Linked DNA regions of Drosophila melanogaster. The gene in region 1 interacts genetically with each later gene. Each region holds a gene or a part of one and is shown on either strand. Other genes may lie near its edges. The genes, in order: AdoR and Ent2.

Region 1 (5,288 bases):
CATAACGAAAATAGGATTATTTTTGAGTGTACAATTCTTTGCAGTGTACATGTGGGCAACGACAATTATTAAACGTTTAGCACCCATGCATTTTCCATACCCCCCCCCCCCACCATTTTTCCGACTGACTGTGGAATTCATTGAATGTGCCTGCAATTTTTGGTGGGGAGGGGTTCCCCATATCGCATTTCTGCGGCTCTACATAACCGAGACCGAATGGATACGAGTGGCCAACATATGGATCTGAGCCGTTTGCCCGCTCTGCTAAAAAGTTTGAGAACTGAGTTTGTTTTGCTGATCTGTTGTTTTTATTAATGAGCTGTTGATAGTGCTGGTTAAGTCCCATTTGATAGGCATTCAAAAAATTCTATAATTATAAATCCTATAAATTGTAAATATGACTTTTTGGTCCAAGCTCGATTTCCCTGTTTTTGGTTAAAAAATAATGCGTTTTTTGGACACAACTTTGAAAATAATGGTTCAAAAGTGGAGTGGCATATCTTATTTTACTCCTAATTAACTTCCCAATCGATTAGTGTTCAAATTTGGAAACTTTAAATTTTTGCGATTTTTTGCAAAATTTGATGATGTTACCCCTTATAAAAATTCGAAAATTGACAAAAAAATTTTTTTTTCTTAATTCGAAAAAACGGGACAGGGATCGTAAGCATTGGTAATTAGCTGCACAAAACAGTAATTATTTTTACTTTACGACCATTTTCAGTCAAGAAATATTGAAAAAACCACTTGGAAACATGGATTATTTTGATCAACTAGTTTTTCTCATTTTCCATCCAAAATAATCGTTTTATTTTTACAAGGAAATTATCCATGTTAAAGATTAAATAATCATTTAAAGCGTTAAGCATTAGCTGAGACACAAACCTTTCGAAGTTTTACCGTAAGCTTACCAACGGCTGTGGTGAAGCTCTCCCGCTGTCTCTGTCACTCGCACTTCCCTGTCTCTCGCACAATTTAAATATTTCTTAAAATTCAAAAGCAATTAAAGTGCGGTCATAAATTGTGCGAGCTGACTACGCTCCGAATCGATTGCATTCAAATCTCCTTGTAAAACCCAAAATGGGCGTGCAAATTGCCAGCACGTGGACCCATAGATATGGTTCTAAAACTTACAGATCCGGGCAAAAAGAGTGCTGCTCAGTTCATTACGTATACGCCGGATTGGCTGCAGCAAGCATCGCGATTTTGTTTGCACATCTAAAGCAGTGACTATTCGCTAGACAGAAGGCAAACATCTTCGCAGGCCAGTCACGTGCACGTAAATGTCAATAAAACGATATTCCCAGTCGATGGTGATGGTCCGATATGATATTGTAGTATGGGGGCATTAATAATACCCGATGCTCGAGCAATACGATCGCACTCCGCTTGACACAGTAGCAGCCCCAACATCGGGCAATTAATATGCGGCAAACAATTTTGATGAACTGCTAACAAGCCGATGGATCGATGGGGGTTTTATGGGGGCTTCTGGTTCTATACCGGGATGACAGCCCATAAAGCAGCACAATGGCACAAATTGATTTTGGCCAAACGATTATTTCGGGGGTTGCGTGCTCTTGGGCACATCCGCATCGAAAAGTAGTACCCCTCCGAAGCCAAGGATCAACCAGCTGGGCCATCAATATCAATGAGCGGATGCCGATTGATTGGCAGACCCGTCGATTCTTTATTGGTCCGTCTAAGAAAATACATATTGCCCATCGCGGTTTACGTCTCAATTATATTTGAGTGCCATTGAAAGTGTAAAGAACGTTCACAAACGGCGGCCAGAAATAGCGAGCGGAATCTCGGCGACAGCCACAAATCATAGCTATAAAGAAAAGAGCCAGCATATTTCGTTTACGATTATATCCGGACGGAGGCCAAGCCGTAGAACTGCAACTCTCCGCGCTTTTCCAAGCACTCAACAGGCGTCCGCAGCTCGCAGTCCGCAGCTCGGGGGCTCGTCCACTTTTCCCGAAGTCCCCCAGTTGGGTTACCCGATTCGGAAATCCCGAGCCCGAATCCCAACTGCTTGGGCTTGCTATCCGTGCGATTCATTCGCGCATTTTGCCGTCGAGCGTTGGCCAGCGCGGTGGATATTTCGCATATCCGCAGTGGAGAATCGCATATCGCAGCGGTATCAAGTTTTAAAATTCAGTTTCGAATGCCATAAAAAATAAATAATAAAATTAATAAACAAATCCGGTGCGTGTGTGCCTGTGTCTGTGCGGTTCCGTCTCAATGAAATGCCAAACTAAATAAGCTTGGAAAAGTTTTCCATCCAGTTTTTATGGCAACCCAGCGAGGCCCGAAAGAGTGTCAATTGAATTAGCGTCTCGGGCTATAAGAAAATAATACAGAGCCAAAGAGAGATTATCAAGACGCAACAGGTGATTGGATCGCGGATTTATGAATTCGCAAAGGTGTTTGTTTCTCTGATATATAAAACCACCTGTGGCTCCTCCTTCTAGTTTTAGGACCACTCTCTGGAAATCCAACTTCGATTCCAGGTAACTACACTAATTACCCCCAAAGTTTACTTTAATTTATATATAGTGCTAGTGCAAACAAACGAAAAAAGAACATATGTTAGAGAGCCGAAAAAGAAAATCGATAAAATTCGGACTCAGCATTATGTTTATGCTAACCGCAAAGGCAACTAAATATTTGCTTTTCGCAGCGGGGAAAGTCTTCACCTGTTGCACGTATCGCATGTCCTGTTGATTGGCTAATTGATAACATCCAGTTCCGGTCATCACCATCAGCCATATATCAATCCATCCGCACATCCATGCGGATCCCTCCATATATCCATTCGCATGTCCACCCACCCTTGACCCTGTCAGCGGGCAGCCCATTAAATCATCCCGAGCAAACAAATTAGCGGAACGAGTGCATCAATAAACAAAGTTCACCTGTTGCCCGCTTACTGCCGCGTAGCGAAAAGAAAAGACATCTGCAGTTTGCATTAGCGATACATCTTGTATCTTTTGGATGCCAGCCTCCTACTTATGGCGGATTTTTTGGAATTGCACTCGATGGGCAGGGAAATAAAGCAAACTATGGCGAAATGAACCGAGCAGGGCGAGTGAACATCAAAAGCGTTCGGTTCGGTTTGGATGGGATGGTATGGCACGGGCATAGGTGGAGAAGGTGGGGTGTATCTATCTATCTATCAGATGCACACGGCGCTTGTAACCGCAATTCGCATGCCACCGCCCACCGCCCACCGCCTACCGCCCGTCCTTCGACCTCCTCAAGTCGCCAGTGCTCTTGATTACGCCTTTGTGTATAAATTAATTAAATTAAAAGTTTCCGGTTAAGCCTCCGAACGCCGACAAACGCGGCGCTCGAACGCATTGCATTCGAAAGTGCAGAAATGTCCGATGCACTCGGTTCAGTCATTTCGACTTCGAGGAGCATTCGATGATTATCGCACCCTTTCGATTCTGCTGATAAAAGTGAAGAAATATTTATGCTTATATTTGAAGCATGAATGTGCAGCATTTGTGTCAACAAGTTGGCCGGGGTTTCCCCGTTTCAGCACTCACAATGCAATTGCAATGGCCTCTTATCACAAACTTAGGCCGATCCAATGAACTCAGTTTCCATGTTCATACTGCAAAGTTACAAAAGGCGCTGTTATAAGTGTGATAAAGAGATAAATATAGTAAATTATGCTGCTGAGGAAAGGCTATAGACCCATGTGGAAAATGGTGATAACATCGAAATAAATAGGTAAAACAATTGCAATGGATGATAAAGAGAAGCCATATACAAAGCAGGCTGTAAACTAGTCATAACAACACATTTCATGTGGAAATTATTTTTATAATTTCCTTTTAAAATATACATTAGTAATAATGATTTACTTCATGGCATTTCATTAGTTTAAAAAATAATTTGTCATAGTCATCGCAAATGATCTCCCAAAAGTACATCATTTATCTTTCTGTGTAACTGAGTGGCTATTGCAGGCACGTTTCCGAGGCCCAAGGCTCCCTGTAGCTACCTCATTTGGACGGCAATCCTTTTCCTGGGAAAGCCCTTCATCCCGCTGGGAAACGTGTGCAGCGAGTCGAGAAAGTCGAACCCAGAGATGGATTCATTAGGCTGCTCCTGGCACCGCCTGACACCCCATCTTCGAGCTGGTCCATTCCAATTGCTTCTATAAATATTCGGGCAGACACATCAACAACCTCCCAATCGCAAACCGAACGTCAGCACTTGCCAAAATCCAAGAGCGCGACGCGGGCGATTTCCAAACAAAGTCAACATCTCGGCCGAATCTGATTTCGTTTCGATTATACGAATTTAAAGTAAGTCACGCAGCGATTTTAGCAGTTCCCCTGGCCTGCAAATCGGGAAGCTAGGAGGTACATAAACATAAGTGGGTTGCGGTTGGGAATTAGCATCCAATTAGAAGATAATCGCGCGCTAACTGGCCGCGTAAACTTTTCGCGAAGAGATGGCCAAAAAAAAAAAAAGTGTCACAGATTTACGCTGCTTTGGCCACGCCCTAACCCTGTAATAGCGCCCACACCTCCCACACCTAATAGCGCCCACCAAAGTGCCCTTGAGTGCCTGCAGTTAATGTGCAGTCGACCTTCACGCCAACTAAAGACCAATTGTCAATATTTTGACAGCCATCGCCATCAAAAGGCAAAGCGGACTGCGAGTTCAGCGGGAATGGAAGTGGGTTCGATGATGAATATGTTGGCGACATATTGCAAATCCCAGTGGATGGTTTCGACCCACGTGTCCGGGGCGGTGGGCGGTGGGCGTGGCACACCTAATGTTGACATCACTTGGCCATTTAATGACTGCCTTTATGGGGGCTTTTACAACCTGATGATAAAGCGCCAGAGCGATGTGAACCCAACTGAACTGGAGAAAAGTGAGTCGCCCTTGAGTGGACTCCAATTGACGGCCAATTTGGCGCGGCTTTTTCAGCCCGTGCTCGCTGCGAGAGAGAAAAGTAATTCATTCACTACTTAACTAACAGATATGGTTTCTCTTTCATTCCGAGCAAAAATACGTTAAAAGGATTCATTTCCACTTTTATATGATCCTGCCAAAAATGCGTGTATGTTATGTTAAAACACTTTACTCTTCTCCTGAGTATTTTTTTCTCTGTGGAAAGACATACTTGTATGTTTATTGTGTTCTTTCAGTGTGAGCATTTATATTGGCTACCCAATCACCAGACCAGACCAGACCCTTCCATCCGGCAATCGCCATCGCATTGTCCTCGTTTTGTCCCCGGTCATAAGGTCTCGTAC
Region 2 (4,933 bases), on another chromosome or scaffold:
TTGATTAGTTTACTATTGTGACCAATACCTTCTCTACCACTATTTGACTCATCCAGCTTGGGTTTCTTTGTGGTCGGTTCTATCGCCTCAGGTTGTTCCTCCGTTGGCGTCTCCAGCTGGGTTTCCTGAGGTTCGTTTTCACTGGGCTCCACAACGGGAATATCTGTGGCCTTCGCGTCCCCTCCTTGGTAAAACTCCCTTAAAACGGAATAGAGATTAACGGAAACACATCGCTGTTGCTGCTCCAGGGGTAGTTTCAGAGCTGAGAGCGCCTGCTTCTGGGGCACATTGCCCGGGTGCATGTGCACCAGGGTGCCCTCCGTGCCTGCGCCTATAGAGTTGAGCATGGCAGCCGGCAGTAGACCATTGGTACCACTCTCGTACAGCAGATAGCTGCCGAATCCACAAACGCCCGAGTAAGAAATAATTTGCGATAAAGTGTCAACGCGAATGCCCATGACCTTTTCCGAGTCTTGGCGGTAGAAGATGTCCAGCATCAGACGGATCGTTGGCTGGCGGATTTGAACGAACTCGAAATACTTTTTCTCCTTCTTTAGCAGGTACTTCTCTTGGGAGTACTCCGTTCGGTTGTGGAAAGTCTTAGAATTCTCCACCAGCTTCTCGATGATTTTGCTGGAGTCGTTGCACTCCTCACGCAGCTGCGCAATGTCCTCTGGTTTCAGGGTCTGCGCTTCTCCATCATCCCGGATGTCCCGATTATCCGCTCCACTGCTGGAGATGCCCAGAACCTCTCGCGTGCTTCTCAGCTCAGTCTCGCTGCACAGCTCCAAGGTGTGTTGTCTCTGGGCGCCCCTTTTACCCGGCTTTGTCTCTTTGACGCACATCTTGAACGTGGAGCCATAGGGTTGGTCCAAAAGAGACTTCAGCTCCAGTGTTTCTTTGCCCAATGTGGCCGTGGTGTCCAGACTGCCGAATTTTTGTAGCTTCGTATATTTCTGCCGCTGGATGACGATGTAGTCGCCCAATTGGATTCTGGGGATGTCCTCTTCGGTGGCCATGGTTGCAACTCTATGTTATAATTCTTATAAACAACGTGTTTGTCGAAAACAAACGAAAGCCGCAAATTCTATAGAGAAGAGGAAGAGAAATTCAGTGCTGGAAAACGGACAAAATCTGGTAATCTAGTCACCTGTTGCATGTGATTAGTAACGAAATTTTAAATAAAGAGCTATAATTAACAACAAATTATTTTCTTAATTTGGCAATACAAATTCATTTATGCAAACAAGAATATTTGGATTGATATTTGACTGATCTGGCAGCTCCATTACCTGTTGCTTGGCCAAATGTTTCACAATTCTAATTAAGAAATAACCATGAGTACTTATACCAAAAATTTCATTTACTTTAACTAATTAATTTTTGATCATGCAATTAGAACATTCAAGCACAATATCAATACTCCTAGTTAAAATATACACAAAAATAATATACAACAAATATGTACATACATTACCCATTTTTGAGATAAGTGGCTGTTTGCTGTTGTGCTTTAATAAGTAGAGTTGGTTGCTATGAATGCTTAAGTTGAACATGGGTGTAGCTAACAGGGATGGTGAAAGTGTGAGTAAATACCTTGAATTACTATGACTAAGTAATAATCATTGCCAAAAATACATTATTTACTGCCCATACTTACGGTCCCTCTTGGCGATTACGGAAGGGAAGGACTGCGCCCATGCGTAACGGCACCCCTCAAATCGCTTGTATCGACGCCCATAAATCATAATTTTCAACGGTGTGGCAACGCCGTTCGATCGAGTACAGCTGATACAACGCGGCGATAATCTTGTAGTGCGGTGCGGTTTTAACCTTTGATTGGATCTGTGTTGTAATCAGCGCTCTTCGGGCACTGCAGTTGCGTCTCCACGTGACCACTAGTTCCAGGCGAACCCCCCGCCACGAGGATATACCCTAATCCCGAAATCAGAGTGCTGTCGCAGGCGCAGGGAAAATCAAACCTTCCCGCCCTCCTACCGGTTTTGTGGCCACCGCGAAAATAACTGACCGCGCAAGTTTTCGGGTTTCAAGCAAACGCCTCAAGCACACGCCCCAATAACTGCTGTCGCCCGCATCAGCAGAACCAGAAAGAAATCCGAGCCAGAGCAGAACAGAAGTCGCGCAGATATGGCGGAGGCTAAATCGGAGAAGTCGCCTTTTATTGGCAAACAGCAGGCGCCGGTGACGTTAAATCCCTCGTGGGAATCCAAGTTGCCGCCCCATGATTCCAACGGCAAGGGATCAACGTCGGTGTTGGCGAAACTGGGCCTGCCAGCGCCAAAAGATAAATTCCTTATCGTGTTCTTTATATTCCTGCTGCACGGCGTGGGCACGCTGATGCCATGGAACATGTTCATCACGGCCAAGTCCTATTTCGAGGACTTCAAGTTCGGACCAAACAACACCGTGGCCACGGAAGTGAGTTACCGCACCCATTTCATGCAAAATATGGGCTTTGCCTCGCAGATTCCTAACCTGGTCTTCAACTGGCTGAACATCTTTGTCAACTTTGGCGGCGACCTGACCACCCGAATCGTCTACAGCATCATCTTCGAAATGGTCATTCTGCTGGTTACCATTATTTTGGCCATGCTCGACTCCTCGCAGTGGCCGGGCGTCTTCTTCTGGACCACCATGGTGTGCATTGTGTTGTTAAACGTGTGCAACGGCATCTACCAGAACACCATATACGGAATAGTGGCATCGTTGCCCATCAAGTACACAGGCGCCGTCGTCCTGGGCTCCAACATCAGCGGCTGCTTCACCACCGCCATGGCCTTGATATGCGGTGAGATCTTCTCGTCCAAGAGGACTTCGGCCATCTACTACTTCGTGACCGCCATCCTAGTGCTGCTGCTCTGCTTCGACACGTACTTTGCGCTGCCGCTGAACAAGTTCTTCCGGCACTACGAGACCATTAGCCGGAGCAGCGAAAAGAAATCTGATTCTAAGGCCCAGCTGAACGTGCCTTACTGGCAGATCTTCAAGAAAGCAGCGCCCCAACTATTCAACATCTTCCTCACGTTTTTCGTCACGTTGTCGGTTTTCCCGGCGATTCAGTCGAACGTGCACCGCTCCGACCCAAATTTCGTAGTAGGCCCGGACTACTTTACACTGGTCACTTGCTTCGCGACCTTTAACGTCTTCGCAATGCTGGGCAGTTTAACCACATCGTGGGTGCAATGGCCGGGTCCGAGGTTCCTCTGGGTGCCAGTGGTCTTGCGTCTGGCGTTCATCCCCTTGTTTGTCATGTGCAACTACGTTCCGCCGGACTCGGTGCGCTCATTGGCCGTATTCATCGAGAACGATTGGGTGTACTGGGGCATCGGCATCGCAATGGCCTACAGCTCCGGGTATCTCAGCTCTCTGGGCATGATGTACGCCCCGCAGACGGTGCACACCAAATACCAGACCACTGCCGGAATGTACGCAGCTGCCATGCTGATCACGGGCATCTTCTCCGGAGTGCTGTTCTCGTATCTGGGACCATTTTTCGTCGTGTAGTCTTACATTTATTAGTATGACGCTTACTAACAATTTTCATTGTTCATTGCATTGCATTATTTGACACATTTTAAATTTAGTTTTGTGCTCAATACCAGTTCCGGGACCTGGCCATTTGGTTTCGTCTTAACCAATTAATTATATTCTTTTCATTTAATAAAGGTTTTACTTTTCATTTTAATAATATGGTGTCTAATATTTCATAGTTAGACTGCACACACATAAATTTAGTTTTGCGCTCAATTCTAGTTCTAGGACTAATCAATCATTTTAACACGTTTTATTTAATAAAGTTTTTCAATTTGTATTTTATTACATCAACGAAATAATACAAAGATAGTGGTACAAATTAAAGCAACAATATACCTCGCATCCATGGGAAAATTGTGCCGACAAAAAGAGCAAAGGGAACTTGCAGAGTCTGACAATTGGGTCCTAATTGATGTACATATATCTATCAATTAGGAGGGGGTCTAACAAGTCAATGGAATATTTGGTTCGTTTTATCACAGCTTCATCCGATTGAATGAAATAACAAAGTGGGACAAATATGCACGACCAAAGCATTTAATCAATGCACTCTTTTGGTGGCCACCGAAACCGCCCAGCTGAAATTGTGGACACCCTTGTAATGATAAAAAACACTGTTAACAGAAAACGTACAAATAAAACGTTCTAATAAAATAATAAATGTGCAGATAACGGCCTTATACAAAACTAATTTAATTAATTTCAAATTGGCAGAAAGGTTACAAAAACTGGATTTAAACGTTAGTAATAATTACTATATTATAATCTCCGAAATACTTTATTTTGCATCTGTGCCAAAGTTTAATGCCATCTTGCAAAGAGGCGTAAACCATTCCAAAGCCGATGGAATTGTTTGGACATGGCGCCGAAAAATATTTGGTAAACAAAAAAATAACCAAATAAACGAACCTTATCTGAGAAGACACATAATTACCGTGGGAGCAGCTAGTAGCAGATAAACATATCAGTTCCACTTGTCACTTGGGCGACGTCTAGTACCTATTTATGTATTTACAAGGGCAAAGTTAGGGGGAAGAGCCGAGGCAGAGCCCTGACCAGCTCAAGGTCATTTCTTATCTCCGCCCTGCGGATCCGACAAGAAGTACACGATCTTCAGAAGCTCATTGAACTTTGGCGTATGCCTGGGATGGCGTTTCTCAAGGCCAGCAATCTGCTCGAGGGCCACTTCCACATCCACTACATTGCCTAAGATCGAATGCAGGCGCTGGGGATATTTTCTCGCGGCTCGCTCCACACGTTTGCGCGTTTTCTCCAGCATACTCAGTTGTTCCTGGCTGCTTACTTTGTGGTAGCTCACCACCAGCGTGTTTAGTTGAGGCAGACTATCGGCCAGTGGGAAGCCGAAGTCTTCTGCATC

Evidence for each region.
Region 2: of AdoR (region 1) and Ent2, changing one suppresses a phenotype caused by changing the other (phenotypic suppression), as found in Drosophila melanogaster (one study listed by BioGRID).

The regions. Positions count from the first base shown.
Region 1 is NT_033777.3:30,146,389-30,151,676, reverse strand, and holds the start of AdoR (adenosine receptor), read left to right. Parts: upstream 1-2,070; 5' UTR 2,071-2,516; intron 2,517-5,288.
Region 2 is NT_033779.5:6,560,549-6,565,481, forward strand, and holds Ent2 (equilibrative nucleoside transporter 2), read left to right. Parts: upstream 1-1,776; 5' UTR 1,777-2,148; coding exon 2,149-3,525; 3' UTR 3,526-4,161; downstream 4,162-4,933. Other genes in the region: Trmt6 (tRNA methyltransferase 6 non-catalytic subunit), read right to left, coding at 29-1,019; CG13766 (uncharacterized protein), read right to left, coding at 4,622-4,933.